Linked DNA regions of Canis lupus familiaris. The main gene of each other region encodes a partner of the protein of the gene in region 5 in a complex. Links are inferred from orthologs where the notes say so. Each region holds a gene or a part of one and is shown on either strand. Other genes may lie near its edges.

Region 1 (4,390 bases), on a different chromosome or scaffold from region 5:
CATCACTACCTGTTGCTTGGCCCACCCACCCAGTCCATTTCCCTCACAATTTAAATCCCACCCCCATGCAGCCCACTTCTCACTTGATTTTCCTGAACTCATCACAGTCACAGAGAATCAAATTCATATGCTTGTCAAAAGCCTTGAAGGTGCCAATGAAGATCCGGCCGTCTTGTAGGATGCACCTCATCCTATAGTCGATGTGCTGCAGCATCTTGCTGCTCTTGCCCACAGTCTGCAAGGAGAAATCAGCAGGATCAGAGTCAAGCTCTTTTGAACCTATATATCCCTGGTCCTTCCTAAAAACCAGCTCTGGCCTACTTTTCCACATGGCTATCTCTCTCAACAACTTCTCAGCTCTGTCTTCCTTTCCCGGGGAATTCTCCCACACCCAGTGTTCAGCCCAGACCTCTGCCCACAACTCTCTTACTCTCCCTTAAAATCAGTCTTTTTCATATCACAATTGCCTGTGTGTCTGCTGTGTCAGTTTCAGGGGTGAGGAGTAAGGTATCTCCAAACTAATCCAATCCCCCCATACCAGATTAGCCATCTGCCACTATGCAGGTTACAGGTGTGTGACTCCAGTGCTGTGGAACACCCACAGCCCAGTTAAAGGACCGAGTAAAACAGCTGGAATGATTGGCACTAAGGATCCAATCAGCAAGAATCTATTATCAGAAAGGAGCTGATGAGCTTGGAGGCAAGGCAAATGGAATCCCTAAACGAAAAATGTTAATGTGCCTCCAAAACTGTCTTTGGGAGGGAAACTTTCTGGTGGCCAGGGTGCTCATCAGTTTGAACACATAATGGTCTTTAAACTTCTTTATCAATCCAACAACCTTTTCTGGTTTGTAGCCTGGCTTCCAAGGTAGCTTTGGTAAAAGACAGACTAAATAGAACTCACAACGCAAATTGCCAGGTGCCTTTGGCAGTTATACCTCTCTAGAAATAACCTGGCATTTGATTTGTGTATCAGCCTTCCAAGTGTCGTCTTCTTGCCAGTTACTGTGCTTGCTGTTCATCTCTGTAAGCTTGGACAAGAACAGGTTTTTCAACCCACCAATGTGTGGATCAGAGCCTTGCCTAGAGACACAAGTTATGTGGCTCACTCTCCCTCAAATGACTGTTAACCAGCTACAAGCTGGTTAACTTGAGTCCAGTGTCCCCATTTAAATCTGCCCTCTAGATTCTAGCCACACAGATCTGAAGCCTTATGGCAACATTTACTGGTCTGTCCACCTTATAATAGGTAAGTCTTCCTGGTCGTTCACTGCGTACCAGGCACTGTGACAAGCACTAAATATCTTTTATTTTTTTAAACATTTTATTTATTTATTCATGAGAGACACAGAAAGGCAGAGACACAGGCAGAGGGAGAAGCAGGCTCCATGCAAGGAGCCTGATGTGGGACTAAATCCCGGGTCTCCAGGATCACACCTTGGGCCCAAGGCAGATGTTTAACTACTGAGCCACCCAGCAGTCTCTAAATATCTCATTTAATTCTAAAAACCAGGCTAATTATTATTCCTATTTTACAGATGCAGCCACTGAGGTCAGGAGAGGTTAAGTAGCTTGCCCCGTCTCACAGCCAGGAAGCTGGTCTGGAACCTAGACAGACTGAATCCAGTGCCTACTCTTCCAAACCAATCCTACAAACAATCCCCGGCTTTCGGTTCACCCAACACGCAACAGCCACAGAACAGAGCGCTCTTTCTAAACACAACTGCGTCCACGTCATTTCGCTGGCTACATCCTTCCACGGCATCCCTCATCACCAACGGGATCAGGCAGCATGGAAAGCCTTTAGTAGCCAGGTTCCTGCCAATTCCTCCCATCTCTTCTTCCATCCCTTCCCCCTCGACCCCTCCAGGAACCCTCAACAGTGCGGCCCTTCACGCCCTGCTCTTGGAGCCCTCCCAATCTACAATACTCCCTTCCATCGAGGCTGGGGAGACTCCTGTAACAACCTGTTAGGACTCTGCTCAGGAACCATCTACTCCAGGAAAACGTTCTTATCCCGCCCCCCCCCCCGCCCCGTTACTTTTACGCAGCGCTTAATTACCACTCTGGATCATATTACCTGCGTCCGCAACTAGAAAGCGAAAGGAGTGGAGTAGCCCCAGTGCCTGAGAAGCCAGACACGCTCACACAGACCTGCCCCACAAAGGAGTTGAACCCTTCCTCCATCTTCGGTTTCCCTCCCATTCCCTCCTCCCATCTGCTAGACCCAAGCACGCTCTCTAGTTTCGGCCAGAAGTCCTCCCCGCTTTCCGCAAGTCCCCCTCAGACCCTCACCCCGTTTCACGAGTCCTCCTGAGGCTCTTATGTCTGCTCCGAAACCCCAAACGCGCATTTATTGCGCAAAAGTTTACTTCGTGCCTGCAGGATCCCAAGCACCGTGGCTACAGCGGCGTGGACAGCCGCGGGCCCATCCTCGCCACCACCTAGCGGCCCCGGCCTCCGTCCCTCGGCCCCAGCCCTCCCTTCCCCCAACCCGTCCAAAGGCCACGGTCCGAGTCTCCCCCGCCCAGACGCGGCGGCTGCGGCCCGGGCCTTCGCCGCCATGAGCCCCCAACCCACGACCTCCTCCCGACCGGCCGCGGTGCCCACTCCACGACAGACTCGGAAGTTCCCGCGCAGCCGGCCTGCCCGTCCTCACCATGGTGGCGGTTCTGATGGCTCCGATTCCCGCCGGATTGCCCTCAGCAGAGGCCTAGACGCCCGCTACTACACCGCTTCCCGCCGCCGCTACCGGAAGTGCGGCCGCGGATAAAATGGGGTCGGGTAAAAACTACTTCCGGCCCGGCGTCGGCTCTTGAGTTCCGGCCAAAACGCCGACCTGGGAGCCTAGACGCCCGCGGGAGTTTGGGGCGGGGCTAACGTCAAACAACATTTCCCGGGATGTTAGGTCACCTCCCTAGCTTCAATCGGTTCCGGAGCTGCCCGCACGCCCCTCCCCATTACCTCTGGGTCTCCAGGTCCCACCGCTCTTCCCTGGCCTGTCCTTTTCTGTGAACTTGCTGGACGAGCTCCTGCCTTAGCACCTTTGCAATGCTAGTCGTCCAGGTACCTGCACGACTCCTGCCCGAACATCCTTCAGGACTTCAGCTCAAGTAACATTTTCCCACTGAGGACTTCCCTGGCCATCCTTATTTAAACTGCAGCCTTCCCGCCCTTACCTGCTTTATCTTCCTCCTTAATGGTGATCCCTAATATACCGTGTTTCTGTTGTTATTCCTCCCCATTAGGATGCAAGTTCTGAGGGTATAGATTTTCCTTTGTGTATTTTTCGTTACCGCAATGCCTAGCTCTAAACATATTTCCATGAACAAATGAGTCAATCAACCAATCCCATCCAGTCCTATGACTTGTGAATACTACCTAAATGCTCAGGAATTTCAGATTTATTCCTCTAACCCTGGGTGCTTTATTTAACTCGTGGCCAAAATCTCCAGCCACCTGCTTGACCTGGAGGTCTAATATACTAAATATAACATGGTGAGGGACGCCTGGGTGGCTGACTGGTTGAGCATCTGCCTTTGGCTTAGGTCATGATCCTGGGATCCTGGGATCGAGTCCCGCATCACGATCCCCGCAGGGAACCTGCTTTTCCCTCTGCCTATGTCTCTGCCCCTTCCTCTCTCTCTCTCTCTCTCTCTCTCTCATGAATAAATAAAATCTTCTTTTTTTATTTTTTTAAGATTTGCATGGGCCAGAGCTGGTCTACAGTCATCAGGCAAGCCAAAGATGGGAGCAGGGTCACCGAGGGACTTGGATGTGCATGGGGAGCCAGGGTGACATTGACACAAAGCATATACTGCATAGTGTCTGCACCTGAAGGGCTGCAGCAAACAGATATATCATGCATATTGGGAGAAAATAAAAACAGCATAGCATGGTATTATATTCCATTTCCACTGGGGAAAAGATTATGCTAGGAATCCCATTGCTGACAAACTAGGGCAGGTGTACAGCTAGGTTGTCTTCGAGGGATGATGGGGGGTGTCACTAGCAAGGTTGGACTCCAGGGATGAAGGGCTGAGGGGGCATGGTATCAGGGCTGTGTTTAGGGGTCTTTAGACCTATGAATTGACACAGGTAATAGCTAAGAAGCCTAAAGCAGTAATTTGGGGGCTAGAGAACAGTTGGGGGACAGTTAAAGGACCTGACCCTGGAATCTGGAAGACTGCAGTGGGAGTGTGGTTAAAGGGTCCCTGGATCCAGAGGACATGAACAGACCACTGAGGAACAGCAGTACTTCCAGAGGGTAGAGAAAGATTCAACAGAGACCTGAAGAGACAGGAAGGAAGGGAGGGAGGGACGCAGGGAGGGAGGGAGGGAGGACCCACCCTGGGAAAAGAGCTTTCCCAGAAGTCAAAGGGAGCTCGGT
Region 2 (4,558 bases), on a different chromosome or scaffold from region 5:
TCCTCCCCAACTTCAACAGGCTATTTCCTGAGATTCCAAGGTAAGGTACACTGTATAAAAAGGGTGCCACTGCTGAAGTTTGAAAACCACTGCTCTAAAAGGTTTTCTGCCTGATTGTGCTCCAAAATTTCACTTCCCTACCCATCATCCCCTTATCCAGCTATTATTCCAGTTCTTCTTTTCCTGCCTTCGATATTTTCCAAGGCCTCAATCCTTTATATCCGTTTACTTTCCTCTTCTCTACCAATGGCAACACCTGTCAGCTTATACCTTAGCTCTTCTCTTGCCTGACACCTGCTTTCCCACCTCTCCCCTTAAAGTACATTTTTGTTTCTCAATGGCTCCCCCCTTTCCCCAAGGACCTTCACCTAAATAATTCAGACTCCCTCAGGCTTCCTCTTGTCGCAGTTACCTCATCTCCCACTTTGAGCTGTCCCTTAACTCCTTTCCACTTGCTAGCTCCTTAACCTCCTCCCCTCCTACAACTCCTCTCCAAGTCTCTTCAACCAGCCCTAAGTGCTCTACATCCCACCTAATTCCCCCAGCTCTGCACTCAGTGCTTGGCTCTCCCCCAGCCCTCCCCTCACCCCTGCTCTTCCATCATCTCTTCCAGCTCGAGGCATCGCAGCTCCACGCGCCGCTTGCGCTCGTGGTCCAGGATGTCAGGATTAGGCCGCTTCACCAGGGCAGCCTCCAGGCGCCGCAGTTCCTCCTCTCCCTTGTAGTCAGGCCGCTCACCCCGGCGGCCCCGCACCAGGGACAGGTTGCGCTGGACGTAGCCGTTGGTGCCGCTGCCCCGGGGCGTCGGCAGCCCGATCCCGTTGTACATGGCCCCGTGCCCGGGGGGAGGGGGGGGCACCACCGCTCCTGAAGGGGAGCGGGGAAACACGGGTCAGGGCCCTGACCCCAAACTAACCACCACCCAAATCCCTGTTCTCCTTCATCCCTATTTCAACATGAATCTCCACATTACACCTCCTTTAGCTGCATAATCCTCCTGGTCTCCTAACAAAAACCCTTCCTTACCTTTCCTATACTTTCCATTGAATGACATCTACGCTTACAGCCCTTTCCCCCCAAAATGCGAGAACTATTTCCATTTGTTTGCACCTAAATGTTCTTTTCCACCCTTAAAAAAAAAAAAAAAAAAAAAAAAAGAAACCTATTTCTCCCAAATTTCTCCACACTACCTCTTTATTCTCCTTTGGCCCCAATAAGCACAAGTGACGTCTCCACCAACCAATCTAATCCCAAACATCTGTTAACTGACTAGGATCTCCCAACACGGCACAACCACCACCATGGATCTGTGTCACCTAAAGGCCCACAGTCCAAGTTCAAAGGTTCTTCTAAAAACTGACCTGAAAACTTCAGACTACCCCGATACAAAAACAAAACCTACATATTTGAACTGTGGACTAATTGGTTCCAACATAAACCAAGTGTCCTGTGCAACCTCACACTCAAGAATAAAAGCCAGCACGCCTATCATAAACATATGATTCCTGAATACAGAATCCTCTTCTTCTTTACCTCCCAAGAGACCATTTCCTTGTTTCCAAATATTATAAGCTCCTATTACCAACCCCACCTAATAACTTATTCCTTTAATTTCCTTCCCAATAGGATTTCTTACATGATCTGCAGCTCACCCAAGTCTCGTTAGCTTTTACACATCATCTGTTCTCAACTCAATGCTCTGAACACATCAAATCAGCCTCCTCTGCTCCAACTACCCTGTACTCTCTACGTCCCTTGCCCTCAACTTATTCAGAAGCCCCCTCACACTTTATACCCATCTTCACTAACCTCAAACTGTCAGCTTTCCCTGGCAATCCTCTGTATCTGACTTCCTAGAGTTTCTCCTCCAGCCCTGTCTTATCCCTTTCATGTTATCTCCATGCCTCCTACCAAGTTCTATTTTCTCAACCTGTTCCAAAGAACCCTCAAACCCCCATTCTTCTGGTTAGATCGCTTAGTTACGCATACTCTATTTATTTTCCCTATTATGTATACTTTATTTCTTCCCTCATCTTATCCTGTCGAAGACAGCTTCACAGAGCGTAAATGAGGGAAAATTACCCCAAGAATAAAACCCAAAAAATAAGTAAAATTAGTTAAAGAGATAAAAATGGATAAAAGACTTATTTTTAAAATTCTAAAATTTTTTTAAAAAGTATACAAACACCTGGAAAAATATACTAAAACAAAAACATAAGTATGGGGAGACAACGAATGGAAGAAAAATTGCCGAATTCCAGAACTGCTTGTACCTCTATCCCCAAACTCTAAAGGCTGGATCCCTGCCCAATCCCATTAGCAGATCCAAGAAAGCTTGGGGGGGGGGGGGGGGGGGGGGCTTGGAAAAAAAAAAAAAGGCCTAAGGTAAAGGAGACAAAGCTAAACCTAGGAAAGGCAAGTAAATATGCACAAAAAATTGAAAAATCTCCTTACAGCACAAATCACTTTCTCTACCTTCCAATCTTCACTTCATTTTCTCAAATCCCAATCCTCCCTACTCTAAACCTAGGTCTCTTTCTCTAAACCCCACCTAATTTCTGCCTCCCATAAAGAACGCTTCTGACATGCAATTAATTCTTCAGCTTAACCATTCACCCACACTTCCATACCACCTCACACAAAAATCCTCCCACTCCATTAGGAGAAAAAACCAGTAGCTGCTGAGAAAAGAGTATTAAAACACAACGAATTGTAGAACTTTTAGAGAACAAGCCCCCCCCCCAATCCCACAGCTTCAGAGGCAGTCCTCAAAACACTAAAAGGAAGAACCTAAGGGGAACGTCAACACAGAGAAATAACCAAAAAAAGTAACTTTGTAATAAAACAGGCATTCTTAACTGGAGTCCACAGACTGGGAAAGCACAAAAGTTACTCAAGCTAAAGTCAGAGTAAAAATAAGCTGCAAAGCAAGACAACAGAGAATTTCTTTTGTTGGGAAATTTATCACAATGCCAAACTAACAAAGCGTTAGAAAGCAACCTGGAAATTCAATACTAAGATACTGAAGACAACGCACCAAAAACAAGGAGGTAGACGTGCAGGAAAATGGACATAGGTAAGCGCGGAGAGGGGGCATTTCGGTGGCTCGGAGGACACTATGGAACCCAGAAAGTTTGAAATATTAGTTCAAGAAGAAAACCTAATAGCACACACTTAAAACACAACACTGTCTCCGAATTTCTGGTCCAGACGACATCTTAGATAAGCGTGAGTGGAAATGAAGCCTCCGAGAGTTGGGTGCCAAATAATGCCTGAAACGGCGCCCAGCGATTCCTTCCCAAGGAAGGGCTCCAACGGCCTCCTCGGCTTTAACACAACTTTTGAGAAGACGATTATAGAGTGGAAAAATGAAAAAAAGAATTAAGAGAGACCCAGACTGCCTTTACGTACCTGGGCTGAACACGTCTTAAAAAAAAAAAAAAAAAAAAAAAGGTGGGGGGAGCAAGGTTTGCAGCGCCCCTCTGCCTAGCGCTTCGGGGCCCGACGCGCGGACACCTCGTCCCGGGCCTCCCAGCAGCGGCCGGGCTGCCGAGGCCTATTTTCGGCCTTGAGGCATGGGGGAGGGGGCTGCGCGGCGCCCGGGAGTCTGGGCGGCTCTGCGCCGGACCGCAAGCCCGCAGGAGGGCCCGGAGGCCGGAGGGGCTCGGGGGAAGCGATCGGGGAACTGGCCCCCGCCGCCGCCTCCCCACCGACAAAATGTCGGAAGGGGCAGCCGCGGGAGGGCCTCCTCGGCCGCACGCGTGGGGGAGGCGAGAAGCCGAGGCGCGCGCTCCCCACCTCCCCGCCGCGAGCGCGCGCGAACCCGAGAGCAGTCGGCGGCGCGAGCCGTTGCCATGGGGGAGGGGAGGGCAGTAAAAGCCCGCGCGCGACGGGAACCGAACGCAGCCGAGGGGGGGAGGGGAGGCAGGCGAGCGAGAGCGTCCGCACGAGCTAGGAGCGGCGAGCGCGCGTGCGCGCGGCGGCCTGGACCGTTCTCCGCGCGCTTTGGCCTCGCGCCGGGGGCCGCCGCCCCTCCCCCACCCGGCTCGCGCGCTCCCTCACCCTCTCACCCGCCGCCGCCTCCGCCCGCCGCCTCCGAGGGGGAGAGGTGTTGCCGCCGCTGCCGCTGCTTAAGCTCCCGAGTCCCTCGGGGCCTGGAGCTGCCGCCTCGCCTCGCCGGTCCGCCTGCCTGCCTCAGCCGAGACCGACGCCTCCTCGCTTCCTCAGGGGCCGCAGCGGGTTCCGACTGCGCCACTCGCACCCCGCCTGGGCCGCGCTGCACGTCAGCACGACCAACTAAGCGCGTCAGCACGCACCCGCGCGCGCGGCGCAGGGCCCGTCGGGAACCGTAGTACGCCCTGCGGCATTGTGCGCAGGCGCCGAAGCCACACCGGGAACTGTAGTTTCTTAAGGCCCGAGGGAGGGTCAACTCCACAGCCAAGGAACTACAAATCCCTTTAGCCAGTGCGACGAAGGGCGGGCGAGCGGCCCGAAACGGGCCACGTATTCCAGAGCGTTTCCGCCGGGAGCGGGGCGGGGCACAGGGCCTAAGCGCCAC
Region 3 (3,807 bases), on a different chromosome or scaffold from region 5:
AGGGAGACACAGGGCATCCACCTTAGGCCTCCGACACACCCTCCCAAGCTCCCTCCAGCCCAGCTGCCAGACACAGAGCCTGCAGTCCTCAGGCTCTGGTGACTGCAAGCAACCCCATGGGAGTGAGTGTGCATGGACCTCTGACGAGGAGGGGACAAGCCATGGACAGGAATGGCCCACGAAGGCCACCCCTAGAGTTTCTAAGTCCAGGCCTTTCAGGAACCCACTCAGGTCTGGCACCTCAAGGCACGTCCTATGCTCAACCCTGGGGTAGAGCACACACCAGCCCATCCTCTCCCACTTGGATTCGGAGATGGCTTTCATGGAAGACATGAGTGGCCGTGACAGAGCAAGGACAGGCATTAGGAGAGGTGTGAGAACCAGAGAAGAGCAGCCGTGTGAAGACCTAGACTGATAGCAGGGGCACTGGAGCTGGGGGTGCTCCCAGGAGCTGGGAAACCAAAACTAGGCAGGCCCCAGAGCCTGGGCGAGAAGGAGGGGTTGGCAGGGGGCACCCCAGTCCTCCCTGGGAACAGCAGTGGCAAGGGGACGCCCACCTGGAGGGTGATGATATCCTGCCGAGAGAAGGGCTCGTCTGTCAGCAGGTCTCGGAAGTTCTTGGCCTTGATATTTAGCTGCTCCACTGCCTGCAGCCAGGAGGGAGCACGCTGTTATGGTGCCTGCCCCACCCTGGCACCAGCAGCCTGGAGCCCACCCAGGGGCTGGCGCCATTCCAGGGGTGCAGAAAAGGATGGCACGACCACGTACTCTTTGGGGGCTCACAGCAGTGGCCCCACCATGGAGGACGGAGCTTGCCGAGCCCCAGACACTCGAATCAGCCATCTCAGCAAAGCTCACTGAAGGACACTCCAATGATACACATCTGACATCAGCAAACAGGCTCAACAACGCTGGCCGTGCATCTCTACCAAGTCCCTCCAACCAAATCTGTGCACACTTTGGGCAAAAGTGACCCCCAGGCCCCACAGGGCAGCGTTGGAGATCCAGACCCTGCCAACAGCCAGGGACAGGTGGGAAAACAGCTCAGAGAGGGCTTCCCTGCAACACAGCACCCACGCGACTGCTGCTGTACTCTCTGCTGGCCCAGAGCAGCAGGATGCGGGTGGAAATCGGGGCCGCCCACCGCCAGGCGTGCCCACCAGCCTGCATCTGCTCCTCCTGGGGACTCCAGCAGGAGGCGGCAGAGGGGGGGCTCAGCGCTCTCCTGGACCTGCCATCAGAGCACAGGTTCCCTCCCAGGGCCTGGTCAGCGAAGATGAAGACTGCAGGGCCAACCCCCCGAGTATAAAACAACCTCCCAGGTTTCAGGTCAGGAGGCCACAGGAAGGGCTCTAGCACGTAAGCTCCACGGGGACAGGCTGTGCCCACGGCGCCCGGTGCACCCTCAGCACCTGGGTGCTGAGGCATATACCTGGGGCATATACCTGAAGAACCTATATGTGCCGCAGCTCCTGAGAACCCACCTCATAGGTGTACACGTTGCCGGTGGTCCTGATGGCTACGATGTGGGTGTTGTTGGTGAATACGGTGAACAGCACTGGGCAGTGGTACTTTCCTAGAAAGAAGACACACGCCAAGAGACCAGAGAAAGGAGACATTGTGTCAGCATGCCCTGAACCTCCGAAGACCCAGAGGGACAGCCAGCTGCTCAAGCCTCCTGTTCCAATCCCACTGAGAAACTCCTACTTGTCCCGCAAAACCCAAACCCTACGTGGTCTTCCTTGGAGTCGTCTGCTCCATCAGCCCCCAACACGCTGCTAGCAACCACCACCCCTCCTCCATCTCAGATCTTGCCACATTCCCCAACCTCCTATACGCCCCCCCATTCCCTCGCTGTGTCATTGCAACAAACTCCCACTGCCCTCCCTGCCCGTGCCCGCCGACTCCACACCAGGCAGCCAGAAAGCCCATTCAAGTAAGTCTTAACAAACTATGAAAAAAGAGCAGCAGAGTATCTACAGATTAAGAGACTTAGGCGATACCAACCACACAAAACTGTGTGGATTTTTTAAAAATCTTGATTTGAAAACTATAAAAAAAAAGATCATGAAAGTATTCCAGATTCTGACCACTGGCTGGGTTACTTGATGACACTAAGGAATTCCTGTTAACTTTTTAGATGGAACGGCGGTACTATATTTAAAAAAGTATTTTAAATCCTTATCTGTTAGAGATATACACTGAAGTACTTAAGCATGAAACGACACGTTTCTGATCATCTGCTTCAAAATTACCTAAGCAGGTGCCACAGGGGAGCACAGGTAAAATCACACAGTCCTAAGTGGATGGGAACTGAAGCTGGGTGATGGCTACAGGGCAGGGGATCACCGTACTAAGTCTCTCTACTTTCATGCATCTGAAGTTTTCAATTAAAAACAAAAAAAGGGAGTTGCCTGGGTGGCTCAGTCAGTTAAGCGCTTGACTCTCGATTTCGGCTCAGGTCATGATCTCAGGGTCCTGGAATGGAGCCCCTCATCGGGCTCCATGCTCCGCGTGGAGTATACTTGGGGATTCTCTCTCCTATCCCTCTGCCCCTTCTCCTCCTCACAAGCAAGCACACACCCATGCTCTCGCTCTCTAATAAATAAGTACATCTTCTAATTTTTTTTTTTTTTATGATAGTCAGAGAGAGAGAGAGAGAGAGAAAGGCAAAGACACAGGCAGAGGGAGAAGCAGGCTCCATGCACCAGGAGCCCGACGTGGGATTCGATCCCGGGTCTCCAGGATCACACCCCGGGCCAAAGGCAGGCGCCAAACCACTGCGCCACCCAGGGATCCCACATCTTCTAAAATAACAATAAGGCAAAAGGGGCTCCTGGGTGACTCAGTCAGTTAAGCGTCCAACTCTTGATCTCAACTCAGGTCTTAATCATAGGGTTAGGAATGTGAGCCCTGCAGGGGGCCCCACGCTGGGTGTGGAGCCTACTTAAAACAAAACAAAAAAGGTAAAAAAGGTGCTTGCTGGTCAAAATTATTACTATTTTTTTGGTCAAAATTATTTAAAAAAAGAAAATAACACAGGTGAATAGTCAGATCTCATGTCTCCTCTCTGGCCAGCATCTGAGAGACCCGTAGTTGCCTGGCCCCTGCACAACTAACTGCTCTGCACCGTCCCCAACTCAGACTCCTCCAACCACAACCCCTTGCTTCCACTCTCACACTGTTTCAGCAACACAGGCCTCCTTAGGACCTTTGCAGTGGGATGCTTTCCCCCCACATCTCACGCCTCCTCCCTCATCGGATTCCCACTCAAACCCTGTCAGCGTGTCTTGCTAGGACTCTCTCCTCCCCTGCTCCTGAAATCCAGTTGCTGGCAGAGGCAGCATCTGACACACTATGGTCAACTGTTTTCCAGTTTCCTCCCTCACCATAATGCAAGCTTCCTTTCACTCCAGGAAATGACCTGTTTTGCTCTCTGCACATGAGAAACAGTAAGTATGTGCTGAATGAGAGACACACTGTGGGCCTGAGTTGACTGATCTCAGAGAAGGTCCATGGGGCTTGGCTACCTACGTGGAGCTCCTCAACCTCCAGGGACTGTCCACAAAGCACTGTGCTTCTGGTCTGTCAAGGCCATTCTCTCATTTACAGTGAGCTGGCACCCACTGTGGGCCAGGCTCTGGGGTGACACAGGAGTGTCAGGCCCCAGCTTCAGGTGCCTCAGCACCTTCCCGGAATGCACACACAAGCAAGTGCAGACAGCCTCAACCTGGCATCTGCACAGGCTGAGGGAACTGTGCCAGGCCTCCAAAGAGCCAAGAGCAAGGTCGGTGCCCGTGGGGGTCA
Region 4 (3,807 bases), on a different chromosome or scaffold from region 5:
ATAATAGTTTAAAGCATAAATATATAAAAATCTGCAATTTTATGTTATCAAAGAGAGAGAGAGAAAGAGAGAGAGAGAGAGAGAGAGAAATAGATTTCTTGAGCCCCCATTGGAGATTGCTACGGCACCAACTCTTTACTGTGAAAATAAGATGAACAAGGGGAAAAACAAAGTATTTATCCTTTCCCTATACGAACTATACTTTGGGGTAAGCAAATTTTGTCTTCAGAGACAAGTTCCAGCTAAAGAAATGAAGATGAAACAGAAAATCGGGGCAGCCCGGGTGGCTCAGTGGTTTAGCGCTGCTTTCAGCCCAAGGCCTGATCCTGAAGACCGGGGATCAAGTCCCGCGTCAGGCTCCCTGGATGGAGCCTGCGTCTCCCTCTGCCTGTGTCTCTGCCTCTCTCTCTCTCTCTCTCTCTCTCTCTCTCTCTCTCTCGCGCTCATAAATAAAAGCTTTAAAAAAAAAAAAAAAAAGAAAGAAAGAAACAGAAAATCGTCATTTCCCAATCCCTAATGACATAATGAATCTAGGCAATGGGCATCGACAGCTGCTGCTAGGTAAAAGGTTGACAGGGAGCAAATAATTTAAAATACATACAAACATCTTAACACCATTACAAGTAGGATAGCCAGACATTACATGCCTCCTGATATAATAGAAAGTAAAGAGTGCCACTTATTGGGCCCCCCCAAAAATAATAAATCTGGGGCAGCCTGGATGGCTCAGAGGTTTAACGCCACCTTCAGCCCAGGGTGTGATCCTGGGGGCCCGGGATCGAGTCCCACATCGGGCTCCCTGCGTGGAGCCTGCTTCTCCCTCTGCCTGTCTCTGTCTCTGCCTCTCTCTCTCATGAATAAATAAAAAATATTTTAAAAATAAGACTTTGTTCAAAAAGAGAGAACATGAGTTATGTTAATTTTTATAGTGATTACAAATTGAAATGACATTTAAAATATACTGGGTTAAAGAAAACATTAAGATTAACCTCATCTGTTCCCTTTTTGTGGCTACTTGAGTATTTAAATTACACATGTGACTTGCATTATATTTTTAATGAATAGCATGGTCTAGACTCACCCAATAGTTTACAAGAAATAGAGGATAGATAAACATCAAACACACAAGGAAGGACTCTGCCAAAGCCAGCAGGTAGAAATTCAAGAAAATGATCTAGTTTCTGGGGATCCCTGGGTGGTGCAGCGGTTTAGCGCCTGCCTTTGGCCCAGGGTGTGATCCTGGAGACCCGGGATCGAAACCCACGTCGGGCTCCTGGTGCATGGAGCCTGCTTCTTCCTCTGCCTGTGTCTCTGCCTCTCTCTCTCTCTCTCTCTCTCTGTGACTATCATAAAATAAATAAAAATTAAAAAAAAAAATGATCTAGTTTCTTTAAAAAAAAAAAAACTTAATGGAGTAGAATTTATTAAAAGAAACATAAAGGGATAGATCACACAGATGCAAACTACAGATAGCTTTATGCAGATCCTAGGTAGAACTAAAGTCAAAAACATTTCTGGAAAAACAAAAACGAAACAAGAAAAACCAGAACACAAACAGGTATCAGATATTAAAGAACTGTTAAGTTGTATTAGGCATGATAATAAAATTGAAGCCTAAAAAGAAAACCCATAAATCTGGTAGAGCTACATTCTCAAGATTTATCGATGAAATGATAAATCACCTTGGATTTGCTTTAACATATCCCAGAAGAAAGAAAAAACAAAGAATAGATAAAACAAGAACAGTAGAATGTTGGTTAACTATTAAAACGAGTGATGGAGGGCAGCCTGCGTGGCTCGGCGGTTTGGCGCCGCCTTCAGCCCGGTGCCTGATTCTGGAGACCCAGGATCGAGTCCCAAATCGGGCTCCCTGCAGGGAGCCTGCTTCTCCCTCTGCCTGTGTCTCTGCTTTCTCTGTGGGTCTCTCATAAATAAAGAAATAAAATCCTTAAAAAAATAAAAATACAATAAAAAAATAAAACAAGTGATGGGTACATGTTACATTAGTCTAACTCCTGTGCATGTTTGAGAAATTTCTCAATTAGGAAGTAATTGAGAAATAGCAAGACATAGCAGGGCTAGATTATTTACCCAGGGAGCTGAACAAATAATCATTAAGGAAAACGAAAAGTGTATCGTCAAAAACACTGACACTCTGCTATCCTTAGGTTGCTGCTTTTCATGCTCTGAAAAGCCCCAATGCTTTGACAACAGTAAACATCTAGGGGTCCTTTATTACTAAAGGAGTCCGTTATAAAACAAAAGGTATTAGTTTCCAAAAGCTGCATATTGTGAAAACTGCAGATGACACTTCAGACTCCCTCTAGTTCTGACCCAAAGCAGTGATCACATTTATATCAAAGACTCTTTCTTTATGAAAGTATCTTTTCCTAGGCCTGACCTTTCTGATTAGTACTAAGAGAAAAGGAACACACAGCAGCACCATTCAGTTTTCATAAGGTGGTAAACTGAACAGGCTCAGCAAATGCCCATATTGAACAAGGACTGCATAAAAGCTAAAGACGACCTGACATCAACAATGCTCATCTGCCTTCAGTTCAGGGTGTGATCCCAGCGTCCTGAGATCGAGTCTCCCATTGGGCTCCCAGGAAGGAGCCTGCTTCTCCCTCAGCCTATGTCTCTGCCTCTCTCTGTGTATCTCTCATGAATGAAGAAGTAAAAAAAAAAATTTTAAATAAAAATAAAAAACAAAACAACAAAAAAACAACAATGTGAGCCTTGGATCTCTTACCTGCAACCCAATATTCAGGTATAGGAAGCCAATAGAGCCCCTCTCACCCAGTTCATCTTGCTTCTCAGTTCCACCCATTTCCACAATACACAAGGACTCAGGCTGGGCTGGGAGAGCCTGCATGCTCAGGGGCTGCAAACAGTCCTAAGGAGGAAAGAGAAAAGAATAAAACATGGGAAATAACCAATTTTGGAAAAATCTAATTTGAGGAGTGAAGAAACAACTTTCTTGTGGATAGGGGAATCTTACAGAGTGAGTTCTAAATGGGTTACTACTAGTTAAACCAAATGTTAGAATAAGCTCTAGAAAGAACCATGCTTTCCTTTCCATAAAAGTGGATAACGGTAAATGTAAATAAGCAAAGGGCACTTATTCTTATCTAAGGTCCAAAGCCAGTCTGATTCCTTTTCTGCAAAGTCTTTGGGTTTTGTTTAACTATAAAAGGGAGTCAAGGCTTAAGGTAAGGAAGCACTTAGTAGTCTGGGATTAGGATCTTTAAAGTACTGCAGAAGACTCCTGAGGTGTGCTGCTATGATAATCACAAGTGGCAGATGCTGATTTCAGGGGCTAACCTAGCTGATCCCAGAAATGCCCATCAGGAATGGGCCAGCAGCTCAGATTCCAGTGAGAAGATCCTTGAAGTCCAGGGTAACACTCACTGAGGGGTCCAGAGAGATGATTCTGACAGTATTGTCCACCAGCCCCACAGCCAGGAAGCGAGACCGTTGTTCTCCAGGAGGCACATTGGCCAGACTCATGCACACCACGTCTGCTGACATCTCCTTCCGCTCTGTGTACTCATTCAGCTGTCCTGACTACATAAATGAAACAGAGAGAGGTGACAAACCACTCCAACTCGCCCCTAAACCCTGGGCCTAGGAAAGGAAGAGGTACTGTTAAATTCCTTTGTGCTTCCTCTCACTCCTCTTATTATAATCAATGACCAAGCATTTCTCTACTTAAGATCCCAAGACTGAACTCTACAGGCTAACAGCAAGCAAAATTACTGACAAGACACTCAAGGGACAACACAGTATCTTTGTCTTTGACAAATA
Region 5 (3,807 bases):
GCTCTGTACGTTGATAAATATATTTTTAAAGCCATCTGATCAAGAGACTGACCTCATTAGCTGCCTCTGGAGAGAACTGGGTGACAGGAGTCTAACAGGGAGGCAGTTTTCATCATGTACTTTTATACCTCCTGCAATGTTTTGCAGCCCACAAAATATTACCTACTCAAAATATTTAATTTAAAAATTTAAATCTAAGAAGTTACACAACCACCATGAATCTCTAGCCACAAAGTGCATCAGGCTCCCTTGGGAACACAGAACTTCAAGTATAGTCAAAGTAGGAAAAAGGAGTCACTGTGTGCAGATCAAAGAGCTGCCAAAGTGTAGGCAGAGGAGGAATGAGGACACAAGAGGCAAACAGAGCCACATGGAATCAGAAGTCTCAGCAAGAGGCAGGAGAGCTAGCTCCAAACAGAGGCCAGGTCTGCTTTTCAGAAGTTGAGATCTTTCCCTCCCTCCCCTCCCTCCCTGTGTCATATGCAATGCTGACTTCTGGAAAATGGATTATTAGACAATTGAGAAATAGATGGACTTTGGGAACCACATTCCCAATTTTGAAATAGGTTGCTGTTAAGGATGTGGATCTTCAGGGCAGATCTGAGCCCTGGCCAGTCCCTTACCTTCTCCTGCAGGGCCTCCCTCATCTCCTGGATGCCTGTGCGTTTGATGAAGTCTGGCAGCTCAAAGGGGGGCTTCTCAATGCCTCGTTTGCCCTGTAGGTACTTGCGCTTAAAACACCAGTGGCGTGGTACAGGGACAGAATTCCGAGTGGCCTTGAGGTGAACCAAGAGCTTGGGGTCCTGCGCAGTAACATCATGCATCTCCACAACATCAGGCCGAGCCACAAGCTGGAAAACACAGCAACATGCCACTAGAAAGCCATAACCTCTCAGATCTAAAACTTTCTCTTCCTCAGAGGACACGTGCCCATGTGACCCAGGCCTCCTTCAAAGCCTTCCTCCCTATCCCTAAAACAAGACCCCTGTGGATTTGTAGGAGCTTCTCATGTGGACTCCCAGCCATGCTCACTCTAGGATCTGCTAGATGAACTCAGGTCTCACCTGCTTCAGTTCAGCCACAGTGAAGCGATTCATTCGGCGCAACTTTTTCTTGGATAACTTGGGGGCTTCTGGCTTCTTCTCCTAGAACAAAACCATTATTTCTTTTGAGCAGGACTCTGAGGTGTGAATCACACTTCCCAGCTCACCCCAAAGTGATTCTTTGTAGGCGTTCATCATGATCCCCCACTGGATGCATCTCAGCCACCCATCTTGAAGCCCTACCCCCCCGACCAGGAACATGAGGGCCTCACCTGTTCGTCATCACTGCTATCGTCATCACTGTCCTTGTGCTCTTCCTCAAAGCCCTTCTTCTTGGGGGCCGTAGAGTTCTCCAGTTTGTCAAGTTTCTCTGGCTCCTTCTCTTTCTCCTTCTTCACGTCATCAGTGAGCTGAGGAGGCAGACAACATGGAAACTCCAGCCCTGTGTCCCTCTCTAGTTCCTGAACGCAGCATTGAAAAGATGCCCTCCTTTCCACATCTTTCCCCATCCCCTTCCCTTCCCTGCTCAGCTCTGCCTCTTCTTAAGGCACTGCTCCCTGTACCTTGAAAGCCTCAAAGATCCTCTTGAAGAAGATGAAGTTGGGCTCATAAATTTCAGGCTCCTCAGTCACATACTCAATTTCAACATCAGCTGCCGGGGAGTCAGAGCCACGGGACCGGGTTGACTCTTTCTCTCGATCCCCAGAGCTCTCAGATGATGCCCCCCGAACCCGCTGGGGCTTTTTCTTCTTCTTTCGGTTCCGACGCTTCCGGTTTTTCTTGCAAAAGGAAAACCAACTGGGTTGGAGAATCCAAGCATGATGTCTGCCCCCTAATCTCCTCGTCCAATTTCCCCAAGGGACTGAGGACAGAGACCATGAAAAGGTCTCCAAAGTTCTGCCCCTCTCAAGCTGTGTACCTCTTGGTAAATTATTGCACCTCTCAAAATCTCAATATTTGCAACTATAAAACACAAGCACACACGGTACCCTGAACTGCAAGGATTTATGATAATTAAATGCAAAATATCTATAAGATGCTTGGGAACTGGCACAAACAGCAGCTATTGGTCATTGGACACCTAAAACTGGTGCTACTTTAGTCCCCGGACATTCTTTCCAGACTCAGGTCCATCCCATACCTCTTTCTTGGAGACAGACACAGTGTCCTCCTCAGTCTCCGACGCAGACTGGCCCAGGGATGAGCGAGTGTCTGTTTCCATTTCCTCTTCTTCTGTAAGGGAGGAAAGTGGCCATCAGTCTCCTCACATTGGTACCCTGACACTTGCCCACAGTGACTCCTCTTTACCAAGAACCAGTTTCTCTCTCAAACCCTCCTCAGGGAAGGGATGGAAGAATGCAGACTCGGCCTCCGCCTCTCCAGGTTCCATCCTACAACCCTCGGAACACAAAACACTCACCCTGTTGAGAGTTCATCTCTTCCTGACGGCTTTCCTTCAGCTGCAGGATCTTTTCCAAAGCTTGGGGGATCTTGGGTCCCACAGAAGGGTCATCCATCTGCCATACACAACCCAGACAGAGATGATCTCAAGACTTCCATCTCTTGTACTAGAAAGGCTGCCAGCCAGGTGATGTACACAGCCAAGAGCAACAATACTAATTGGACCCAATCATCCCTCAGCACCCCTCAGAACCCTGCCCCAGAAATGTCTCCCAAATCCCACTTCCTGCCCTACATAAATATGCTTTAACGAAGTATGGCTCTCACCTGCCCCCCAGCCCCAGAAGCCCTCCTATCTTCTCTCAGAATCCTTCTCTAAAAATCCAGAAACAGTACCTTCCTAAACCACACTCTCCTATCCCTAGAAAGAAATCACCAATCTCACCTCTCTATTCTCATCTCCAGGAGGTGGTGGGGGACCACGAGGCCGGGGAACCGGGGCCCCCATGGGCAAAACAGTGGGAGTGGGGCCCACTGGAGCAGCAACTGTGAGAAGAAAAAAATCCAATGTCAGAAGACACAATGTTCATTTTAAAAATTACCTTCCTTGCTAAAGACCAATGGTAACCCTTAGGGAAAGGGGATGGCTAGAAGAAGCCCAGGAGAACTTCTAAGGTACTAGAATTGTTTTCTTTTTTCTTTTTTTTTTTTTAATTTTGTTTCTTGCTCCAAGTGCTAGTTGTGGGAGTTGTTCAATTTATTACAATTCATTGGACTATATGCTTACAATATACGCACTTTAAAGAATAAGTACTTACATTTAGGATTTTTCAAACACACTCCTTTCCCTTCTCTTCCATTTCCAGGGTCTTACCTCGAGGACCCAGAGGAGTGCGAACACCAATCTGGCCCATGTCTTGTGGGGGCCGAGGGACTGGGGTGCCCATCTTGGCAATCTCCTGCTGACGTTCCTGCTCCAGGAGCACAGCTGCCTATAAGAGAGATGTGGGAGTGAATACACAGCTTGGAAATCCATTGGTCAGGCAGCCTCTGGCAAATGTAGTCTTTTAGCCAGGAGGCCCAAAGAAGAACAATCAGGTACCACTTGAGTTCTGACATCCTCACCAGCCCCACCCTGGAAGGGTGATTGGACTATTGATCCAAATGGAAGTGGCCTCTATCACAAAAGAAAACCCCTGCAAATAACACGCAAAAAAAAAAAAAAAAAAAAAAAAAACCTGGGAAACTCGTGGTTTCTAACGGAGAATTTAACATTTAACTACACACAGCCTTCTATTTTTTTAACAAGAGCTTTTCCCCCAAGAGATTAAGTTATGTCTAAGGAACAATGAATTCTTTTATC
Region 6 (3,807 bases), on a different chromosome or scaffold from region 5:
TTAAAATCCAAAGGAATAGGGTGTGTGGCAAATTCCCTTGTTCCTAGGACATCTTGGGGTCAAAGGGTAACTTAATACAAAACATCAGTAAAATGGTAAATTTGTCCCCCCCCCCAACACTGCACTAGCATTGCTTTTCATTGCACAATTAAACCTCAAGAGGCTCTTTAGAAAGCATCACCTAATAATATCACTCATGAGCTCTTTATTCTAGGGAGACACTAATTCAAACATTGCCTAAAGCAAATGTGGTGTACTTTCATGTACTGACACTTCCAAATTAAAAAAAAAAAAAAAAAGGAAAATCAGAAAAAGATAAAGAAAAAAAGCAAAGGAAAGGGATAGATAAAGAACAAGAAATAAAGAAAGCCCTCACCGTCTCACTGGAGATCTACTCCTTCTATGCCTGGGTGGAGGTGGCATTCGTCTTGGTGGGGTTCTTCTGCGAGGAGATGGCCGCCTTCTCGGACTTGGCCTCCTTCTAGGGGAGTATGATCTGCCAGAACAAACAGAATTAAGACCTGAATAAACAAGAGCAAGGGACGAATTCCTTGATACAGCTTTCTCAACAACTATATATATATATATATATATATACATATACACACACACATTTTTTTAAAAGATTTTATTTATTTATTCATGAGAGACATAAAGAGAGAGAGGCACAGACACAGGCAGAGGAAGAAAGAGGTTCTTTGCATGGAGCCTGATATGTGACTCAATCCCGGGTCTCCAAGATCACACCCTGGGCTGAAGGTGGCGCTAAACCGCTGAGCAACCTGGGCTGCCCAACAACTAGATTTTATTTTTTTTTTCTTTTTTTTTCCAACAACTAGATTTTAAAAATGGACTTCAAGGCATACCATTTTCCATTTACGTAGAGATTTTTATGGTACACAGAAAGTGTCCTCAGATTCTCTCTTTAGGTCCAAAGAATAACACTTGTACTAAATGCTTTCTACTGCTCTGAAATTATTTATCTAATTCTACCCAGAGGGATGCCTAGGTAGAAAGCTCAGTGGTTGAGCATCTGTCTTTGGCTCGGGTTGTGATCCCAGGGTCCTGGGACTGAGTCCCACAGGGAGCTTGCTTCTCCCTCTATGTCTCTGCTTCTCTGTGTCTCTCATGAATAAAATCTTAAAAAAAAAATTCTATCCAGAGAGCAGCATGCAAAACCCAAGATCTATGTCGATCTTGAAGCCATAGCTCACCTTGATCGGGATCTATGACGCCGTCTAGGTCGAGTATGAGACGGAGAGCGAGACCGTGTCCGGGATCTTGATTTGGAACGTGACCGAGATCTTGGTCGGGTCTTCTCCTTCTCCTTTTCCTTTTTGGAATTTTTCTCCGGAGTAGGTTCTTTAGGCTCTGGTACAGGTTCGGGTTTGGGAACTTTCAGGATGTCACTGTATAAACAGAAAGCTTATTTTTTTTCCTTTTTCAGCTGACTCCTAAGTCATAACATAATGACATAGTAGGATTTTTCTTTTTAAAATGTTCTCAGGGGTGCCTGAAAACAGGGTGGCTCAGTCAGTTAAGTGTCTGCCTTCTGATCAGGTCATGATCCCAGGGTCCTGGGATCCTCAGGCTCCCTGGCTCTCTGTCAAATAAATAAAATCTTAAGAAAATAAATAAACAAAATTAAATGTTTTCAAAATCCATGAAGACTTCTCCTTAACCCTAGATATATACACATCACTGAAACTTAAAGAGCAAGTAACGATCCTAACCACAAACATTTTTAAAGTACAAAGCTGTCCACGATATTGGAGAAAAAAGGCAAATTACAATATATAAAATATCTGAAACAATACAACCACCTGATAGCAGTGGTCACCTTCAGGGCATTTACTTAAAACTCTTCTGTAGAATTGGAATCTTTTCAACAAGCTGATTTTATGATTTAAAAAATATAAAAGGGGGGGGATCCCTGGGTGGCTCAGCGGTTTGGCGCCTGTCTTCGGCTCAGGGCGTGATCCTGGAGTCCTGGGATCAAGTCTCACATCGGGCTCCCTGCATGGAGCCTGCTTCTCCCTCTGCCTATGTCTTTGCCTCTCTCTCTCTGTCTCTCTCATGAATAAATAAAATCTTAAAAAAAATATATATATATATATAAAAGGGAAATAAGTAATTTTATGTTTGTAATTCAATTATATTGGCAGCCAGTTATTAACAGCCTAAACTATGATATTTATAAATGAATTTTTATATACTTGCCTAGTAGAAGTGGCCTCTTGTACTGAAGGTTCTTTTACTTTCACTGATGGTTCTGGGAGCTCTGGAGTTTTTTCCTTCTTTTCTGGAGCAGGGGAAGGACTCCGGCTCTTGGTTCTGTGACGGGGAGATCGAGAATGACTGCGCTTTCTCTCTCTCCTGACAGGGGAAGATCGTCTTCTAGGGGAAGGAGATCTGGATTTGCGTCTAGGATGAAAGTAATTTTTTTCAGGTTTTTGAATAATGTGGATTGGGAGAGATCAAAGGGCAAATTAATCTTTTTAATTACACCACTGTTTGTTATACCTGAGAAATTCCTTGTGAAAATAAGATATCTTGTCATATTTCCTTAACAGGGGAAGGGCCAAAAGAAAACCAGAAAGGCAAGCAAACAAAGGTAACAATATTTTCCGGTATACCAGTTATAAGAGGAAAGCACTGACCCAGGACTCTAGATTTAGATTTTTAATCATTCCTAGGGACGAGGAGACCAAAGACTAACTTTTCAGAGGAAAGGAATGCTTGAGAGGTAAAATGATATTCCCTAATAGTAACTCAAGTCCAACAAAACAATTTAAATGCAGAAAGATCCCACCACAGAGTTAGGTAGTCTATATATATTTTAGAAAAATGACTAGTGCAATTAAAGTAATATGCTCTTCAAAAGAGGAAAAAAAAAAAGTCAAACTTGCATAGTCTTTGAAAAAGACCACTTTCCTTTACAATTACAGTTTCTCTAACTTGAAGTAAAACAGCAGACCTGGTTCATCAATAGTTAACCACCATGATGTGCTGAACTCTAGAAGACTGCTTCCCTGATAAGGTTTTAATACCAAATATATAAATAAAAATGGACAAAGAAATCTCCTCCTCCCTTTACTAATTCCAGCAGACTTATGAAAAACTTAGAACTCTAAAAATGAAAGCCTAGGAGAATTCTCACCTTTCACCACAAATACAGTAGAAGCTGAGTCGTGGGTTTAAAAATGGGAACCTAACCATAGTCTCATTGGAAGGAAGAAGAAAAATAAGTGATCTGTTTTGGGTTCAGTACAACCATCTAAGAAAAGCAGAACAGGGAATTAGGTAAGTATAATACAACTAGCTAATGGGCACAGACTTCTAATAAAAAGGAAAGAAAAAGAGTAAAATAATTCAATGCTATATTTAAACAAAAGCAATATGGTAAAAAATAAAAATCTAGATTTTGATATAGGAATTAACAGTTGTATTATTCACCAAGATTTTAGAGACAATTATTCTAGTCAAATGTTCGGTCTCAAACAAAACTGATGTATTTCAGGCTAGAGACAAGCCTTATTCAGTCCATTGTGAAAATGAACGATGGAAGAAGTTCTCTGAATAGTGCTGTTAGCTTCCTTTTTATTCTGTGCAATTTTCTACACACAGAATACTTGCAAAACATCAGGTATGCATGCACTGCATTATACCTTCTTGGGCTTCGAGACCTCTCCCTTTTTTCTCTGCTGCTTTCTTTTTCTTCCTTATCCCTCTTATCCTTGTCTTCATCTTGCTTTTTCATAGATGCCAACTTTTCTTGTTCAATCTGCAAAGATCAAGTTTTCAAAG
Region 7 (4,468 bases), on a different chromosome or scaffold from region 5:
TTTTAAGGTACATTCCAATAAACTGAACCACAGCTAATTGTAAACATTACAATGAGAAGTCCTGCCTCTCTGTGATTAGTTCCCATTTCTAGGCTAATGAGGCCCTCCATGAACAAAGAAAACACGCGGTCTATAGGCATTATCAAAGTAAACTACTTTAGAACAGCTCTTGGAGGGCTCACAAGTTGAACTGGACATATGCCTTCTGCTCAGATCATGATCCTGGGGTCCTGAGATCAAGTTCTGTATCAGGCTCCTGAGTCCATCAGGCTCCTCAGAGAGAGCCTGCTTCTCTCTCTGCCTATCTCTCTGCCTCTCTCTCTGTGTCTCTCATGAATAAATAAAATCTTTTTTAAAAATTAATTAATTAAATAAAACAGCTCTTTGAAAAGTGTCACCTCTTTTGGGCCCTAACATTCCCCCTTATAAATCCACCCTGTACTAAGAATCAAGATTGAGAGTCTTGCATTTCAAAGTCCTCACAACCTCAAAAGATACACACCACAGGCAAATCTCCATCATCATCTTCTTCCTCTTTTTCTGGTTTAGTGGTAGAGATAGATGTCCAGCTCACATCATCATCCACAATCCGCATTCTAAATATGAAAAATAAAAAGATCAAAAAGGGAAGAATCATTCTTGGGTGACAGCCCACAAACAGTTATCTATGGATTTAGTATAAGCTACAAGACTCTGCAAGGTCCAGTCTTTGCCTATACGGCCAACTTCACCTGTACCACTGCCTCCACAGTTCCCTACCTTGCTAATCATCTTTTGGTGCCTGGAATGAGCCAATACCTTACCACATCAGTTTTCACATATTCAGTTCCTTCCTTCGGCCTGGCCTACTCTTCTTTCTTTAATGGGAAACTCTTAAGAGTCCTAGGATACATTTAACTTCCTTGAGCTTCTCCCCTTACTTCCCATGACTAAGAACCTCTGTTATGCATCCTTGGAATACTTTCATTGCATTAATCACAAAGAAAATAAATCAGTTAGTTGTGTAATTAGCTGTTTAAAGCCAGGATCCCTGTTAAACTATAAGGCCCACTAGAATAGGGACTATGCCTTCTCATTCACTGTGATATCCTGAACACCCTGAAGTAACTGGCATAAGAAGTAGGTGTTCAATACATGTTTGTTACACAGATAAACTATGCATGAGTCCAAGTAATTAACAATGACTACCATGATGTGAACAATTCTATCTGAACAGCCAGTTATCACTTTATACCTCTCTAATCACAACCATAGAGCGATAGTATTACTCTCCTTTTAAAGAGGCAGTAACCGGGACACCTGGGTGGCTTAGTGGTTGAGTGTCTCCCTTCCGCCCAGGCCATGATTCTGGAGTGCTGGGATCGAGTCCCACATCAGGCTCCCTGCATGGAGCCTGCTTCTCTCTGCTTCTTTCTCTACCTCTCTGTGTCTCTCATGAATAAATAAATAAAATCTTAAAAAAAAAAAAAAAATAGGGACGCCTGGGTGGCTCAGCGGTTGAGCATCTGCCTTCAGCTTAGGGCCTGATTCCAGGGTCCAGGGATCAAGTCCCACGTCAGGCTCCCTGCATGGAGCCTGCTTCTCCCTCTGCCTGGGTTTCTGCCTCTCTCTGTGTCTCTTGTGAATAAATAAATAAATAATCAATCTTTTAAAAAATAAAGAAAGGAAGCTGCGGTAACAGTCTTGGAGAGACAGTATGTTGCCCAAGGCCGTAGAGCCCACAACGTGGCACAGCCAGGACTCAAACTCTGACTGGTATTACTCCAGAGGTCAAGCAAGCTATTTTCTCTACATGGCACTGTCTGTGTCCAAACAATCGACACAAGTCGGAAGGCAGGAAGACAGAGGGCAAGAACAGGCAAGAAGCAACCCACGAAAGGAAGTGGATTTGGGGGATCCCTGGGTGGCGCAGCGGTTTGGCGCCCGCCTTTGGCCCAGGGCGCGATCCTGGAGACCTGGGATCGAATCCCACGTTGGGCTCCCGGTGTATGGAGCCTGCTTCTCCCTCTGCCTGTGTCTCTGCCTCTCTCTCTCTCTCTCTCTCTGTGTGTGACTATCATAAATAAATAAAAATTAAAAAAAAAAAAAAAAAAAGGAAGTGGATTTGGTCTCTGGAGCTGGGCGTATTGGTTCCCCAGGGCTGCCTGACAAAGTGCCGCCAACCAGGCGGCTTAAGGCAACAGAACTGTACTCTCTCAGGGTCCTGGGGGCTTGAAGTCTGAAATCAAGGTGTCTGCAAGGCAGTGCCCACTGGGAAGGCTGGGGGCGGGGGGATTCCTTGGCTGTTCCAACTGCTGGCAGCGGCAGGCGTACTCGCATACTCTGGCTACTAGTGGCAGCGTAAACCCAGCCCAAGGCCGGCCTCCATCTTCACACGGCGGGCTTTCCCCATCTCTGCGTCCAAATCCCCCCCTTCCTAAGGGGTCCCCGGGCACGCTGGATTTGGCGCCCGTCCTGATGTGCTGTGACCGCATCTTGATTAGCTACACCCGCGGCGGCACTACTTCCGAAGGAAGTCACGTCCTGGGGTCCTGCGCGGACCCGCCGGGAGAGCGGCACGGCGGCCCCGCTCCGCCGCGGAATCCTGGAGCCTCGGTCGGCGCCCGCCCGCGCAGGACTCGGCCCCAGGTGCGCGCGGCGCCCGACTCCGCCGAGCCCCCGGCCGTGCCATCACAGGCTCCGGGCGACCCCGCCGTTCCTCTCGGCGCGACACTCACTCTCCACGGGAGAGGCCGGAAAGCCACCGGGGCGGGAACAGCCTGAGAAAGTTACCGGCGGCCGGAGGCGGCGAGCGCACGGCCGCGGGGCGCGCCGGCCGAGCGCGGAGCCGGGGAGCAGAGGGGCGGCCGGCCGCCGCAGGCCCCGCCCCGCCCCGCCAGCACCCACTCACCCCCTGCCGCCGGCCCCGCCAGGCTTCGGCCGCTTTTTGCGACGCTTGCGACCGGAGTCCGGGCCCCCGTCGACGCCGGCACCTGCCCCAGACAAGTAACGCTTCAGATACTCGGCCTTGGAGAGCGGCGGAGCTGCCGCCATGGCAGCGGCGGGGGCGGGGAGACGGCTCGGCGCTGGGGACAAATTTCCTGAACGCGAAGCGCACGGCGGGGGGCCCCCGGGGGGGCGGGGCCGGGGCCGGAAGTGGTGGAGAGCTGTGGGACCCGCCCCGGGCTGACCCCCGGCTGCGCTTGCTGGCTCTCCGCAGGTGCGCGCGCCTCCGATTGCACCTCCACCTCCCCCTCCCCCTGCCCCTGCCCCTGCCGGCCCGACCGGCAGGGGTTTGTCCACCTGTCTGCCCCTTCAACCTACGATGCAGCTGGCGGGAGGCTAAAACCACGACCCAAACAAGATCTCTGTCCCCAGCAGCTCCAGAAGCACCATAGCGTCGTCAAGACCTCGGGCTCTGGAGGGACGGTGTCCCTAAGCTGGAGTTCGGGCTCCGAAACTTCCAACTGTAGGTCCGGGGGCAACTTAATTAACGAACTGGGGAGTATAATGGCACCTAACTAAATGGCTTCGAGAAATGAGACACTTTTACTGCGTGAGATGCTTAGCACAGTGTCTGAAGCACAGTATGTATGTTGTTTGTATTAGTATGTTAGGTGGAGGTTAGACTGCTCTAAATAGTCTTCCACGAACCATTCAAGAGAGGTCAGGAATTCCAAACGTGATTACCATGAAAAAATATGGAGGTTTCTCTAACCTGTGACCTTCCCCACTTTTGATAGAATACGTAGCCCCCAACTATCTGTTGCCTGCAATCTTTCCTGTGAAAAGGACCTGGCTCTATTTTCAGCCAGATAGAGAAGCTGAATTCTAATTATCAAGTTGGGAGGGGCCGGGGGGAGGGGACATACTCCTTTTCTTCTTGTGAACATTATTTTACATAAATTACCTCATTTAACAAATCTCTCAAGTGGTTTTATTATGCTTGTTTCACAGATGAGAAAAACCAAAGCTTGGAGAGGTTAAGGAAGTTGTCCAACTTTATACAGCCAAAATGTGACCCTTGGGAGCAGAAGCTAGCCAAGTGAGGTACAAGAGGTAAATCCAAAGTTTGTGAAAATGTTAGATCAAGTATTTCCCTTATCTCAACATGTTAAATTTTTGTCACTGTTTGAAAGCCTATTAGTCAAGAAGGCTTGCTTGTTATACTTTATAAATGCTCTGCTCAGAATCCAGGATACATGCTCAAAAAAAAAATTATATATAATATAGGTGTGGAAGTCCCAGCCCTGATGGATGAACTTTTAACCACAGTGTTGTCCTGACTGGTCCAGCTGAGGCCCAGGAAGGAAAGCAGACTGGGTCTCTGAGGGCTTGTGGGGATACCAGATTGATAGAGGGCTTCACTGGCTGGAGGTCCCCATGGGTCCCCCAGACACAACCCTGTGTTGGCTTCTAATCCACTTTGGTGGACCTCAAACTGAACTTTCAAAGCCCTGCCTCTACTACTTTGTGGTCAGCAGGCATT

Evidence for each region.
Region 1: SF3B2 (region 5) and SNRPB share a complex: the UniProt entries of both Homo sapiens proteins name them as parts of the minor spliceosome. The link is inferred for Canis lupus familiaris from reciprocal best matches to the Homo sapiens genes SF3B2 and SNRPB.
Region 2: SF3B2 (region 5) and SRRM2 share a complex: the UniProt entries of both Homo sapiens proteins name them as parts of the minor spliceosome. The link is inferred for Canis lupus familiaris from reciprocal best matches to the Homo sapiens genes SF3B2 and SRRM2.
Region 3: SF3B2 (region 5) and PPIL2 share a complex: the UniProt entries of both Homo sapiens proteins name them as parts of the minor spliceosome. The link is inferred for Canis lupus familiaris from reciprocal best matches to the Homo sapiens genes SF3B2 and PPIL2.
Region 4: SF3B2 (region 5) and SF3B3 share a complex: the UniProt entries of both Homo sapiens proteins name them as parts of the SF3B subcomplex of the 17S U2 SnRNP complex. The link is inferred for Canis lupus familiaris from reciprocal best matches to the Homo sapiens genes SF3B2 and SF3B3.
Region 6: SF3B2 (region 5) and SRRM1 share a complex: the UniProt entries of both Homo sapiens proteins name them as parts of the minor spliceosome. The link is inferred for Canis lupus familiaris from reciprocal best matches to the Homo sapiens genes SF3B2 and SRRM1.
Region 7: SF3B2 (region 5) and BUD13 share a complex: the UniProt entries of both Homo sapiens proteins name them as parts of the minor spliceosome. The link is inferred for Canis lupus familiaris from reciprocal best matches to the Homo sapiens genes SF3B2 and BUD13.

The regions. Positions count from the first base shown.
Region 1 is NC_049245.1:19,125,426-19,129,815, reverse strand, and holds the start of SNRPB (small nuclear ribonucleoprotein-associated proteins B and B'), read right to left. Parts: upstream 2,818-4,390; 5' UTR 2,663-2,817; coding exon 2,660-2,662; intron 236-2,659; coding exon 84-235; intron 1-83. UniProt on the Homo sapiens protein: Plays a role in pre-mRNA splicing as a core component of the spliceosomal U1, U2, U4 and U5 small nuclear ribonucleoproteins (snRNPs), the building blocks of the spliceosome.
Region 2 is NC_049227.1:38,736,405-38,740,962, reverse strand, and holds the start of SRRM2 (serine/arginine repetitive matrix protein 2), read right to left. Parts: upstream 3,090-4,558; 5' UTR 3,075-3,089; coding exon 3,038-3,074; intron 868-3,037; coding exon 588-867; intron 1-587. UniProt on the Homo sapiens protein: Required for pre-mRNA splicing as component of the spliceosome. As a component of the minor spliceosome, involved in the splicing of U12-type introns in pre-mRNAs.
Region 3 is NC_049247.1:31,118,128-31,121,934, reverse strand, and holds part of PPIL2 (RING-type E3 ubiquitin-protein ligase PPIL2), read right to left. Parts: intron 1,577-3,807; coding exon 1,485-1,576; intron 648-1,484; coding exon 558-647; intron 1-557. UniProt on the Homo sapiens protein: Has a ubiquitin-protein ligase activity acting as an E3 ubiquitin protein ligase or as an ubiquitin-ubiquitin ligase promoting elongation of ubiquitin chains on substrates.
Region 4 is NC_049226.1:77,098,761-77,102,567, reverse strand, and holds part of SF3B3 (splicing factor 3B subunit 3), read right to left. Parts: intron 3,568-3,807; coding exon 3,412-3,567; intron 2,897-3,411; coding exon 2,753-2,896; intron 1-2,752. UniProt on the Homo sapiens protein: Component of the 17S U2 SnRNP complex of the spliceosome, a large ribonucleoprotein complex that removes introns from transcribed pre-mRNAs.
Region 5 is NC_049239.1:51,708,419-51,712,225, forward strand, and holds part of SF3B2 (splicing factor 3B subunit 2), read right to left. Parts: intron 3,437-3,807; coding exon 3,319-3,436; intron 2,991-3,318; coding exon 2,890-2,990; intron 2,561-2,889; coding exon 2,464-2,560; intron 2,277-2,463; coding exon 2,185-2,276; intron 1,823-2,184; coding exon 1,607-1,822; intron 1,454-1,606; coding exon 1,316-1,453; intron 1,146-1,315; coding exon 1,065-1,145; intron 852-1,064; coding exon 624-851; intron 1-623. UniProt on the Homo sapiens protein: Component of the 17S U2 SnRNP complex of the spliceosome, a large ribonucleoprotein complex that removes introns from transcribed pre-mRNAs.
Region 6 is NC_049223.1:74,434,998-74,438,804, forward strand, and holds part of SRRM1 (serine/arginine repetitive matrix protein 1), read right to left. Parts: intron 3,785-3,807; coding exon 3,669-3,784; intron 2,425-3,668; coding exon 2,221-2,424; intron 1,410-2,220; coding exon 1,215-1,409; intron 497-1,214; coding exon 377-496; intron 1-376. UniProt on the Homo sapiens protein: Part of pre- and post-splicing multiprotein mRNP complexes. As a component of the minor spliceosome, involved in the splicing of U12-type introns in pre-mRNAs. Involved in numerous pre-mRNA processing events.
Region 7 is NC_049226.1:16,817,154-16,821,621, reverse strand, and holds the start of BUD13 (BUD13 homolog), read right to left. Parts: upstream 3,077-4,468; 5' UTR 3,034-3,076; coding exon 2,891-3,033; intron 597-2,890; coding exon 503-596; intron 1-502. UniProt on the Homo sapiens protein: Involved in pre-mRNA splicing as component of the activated spliceosome. As a component of the minor spliceosome, involved in the splicing of U12-type introns in pre-mRNAs.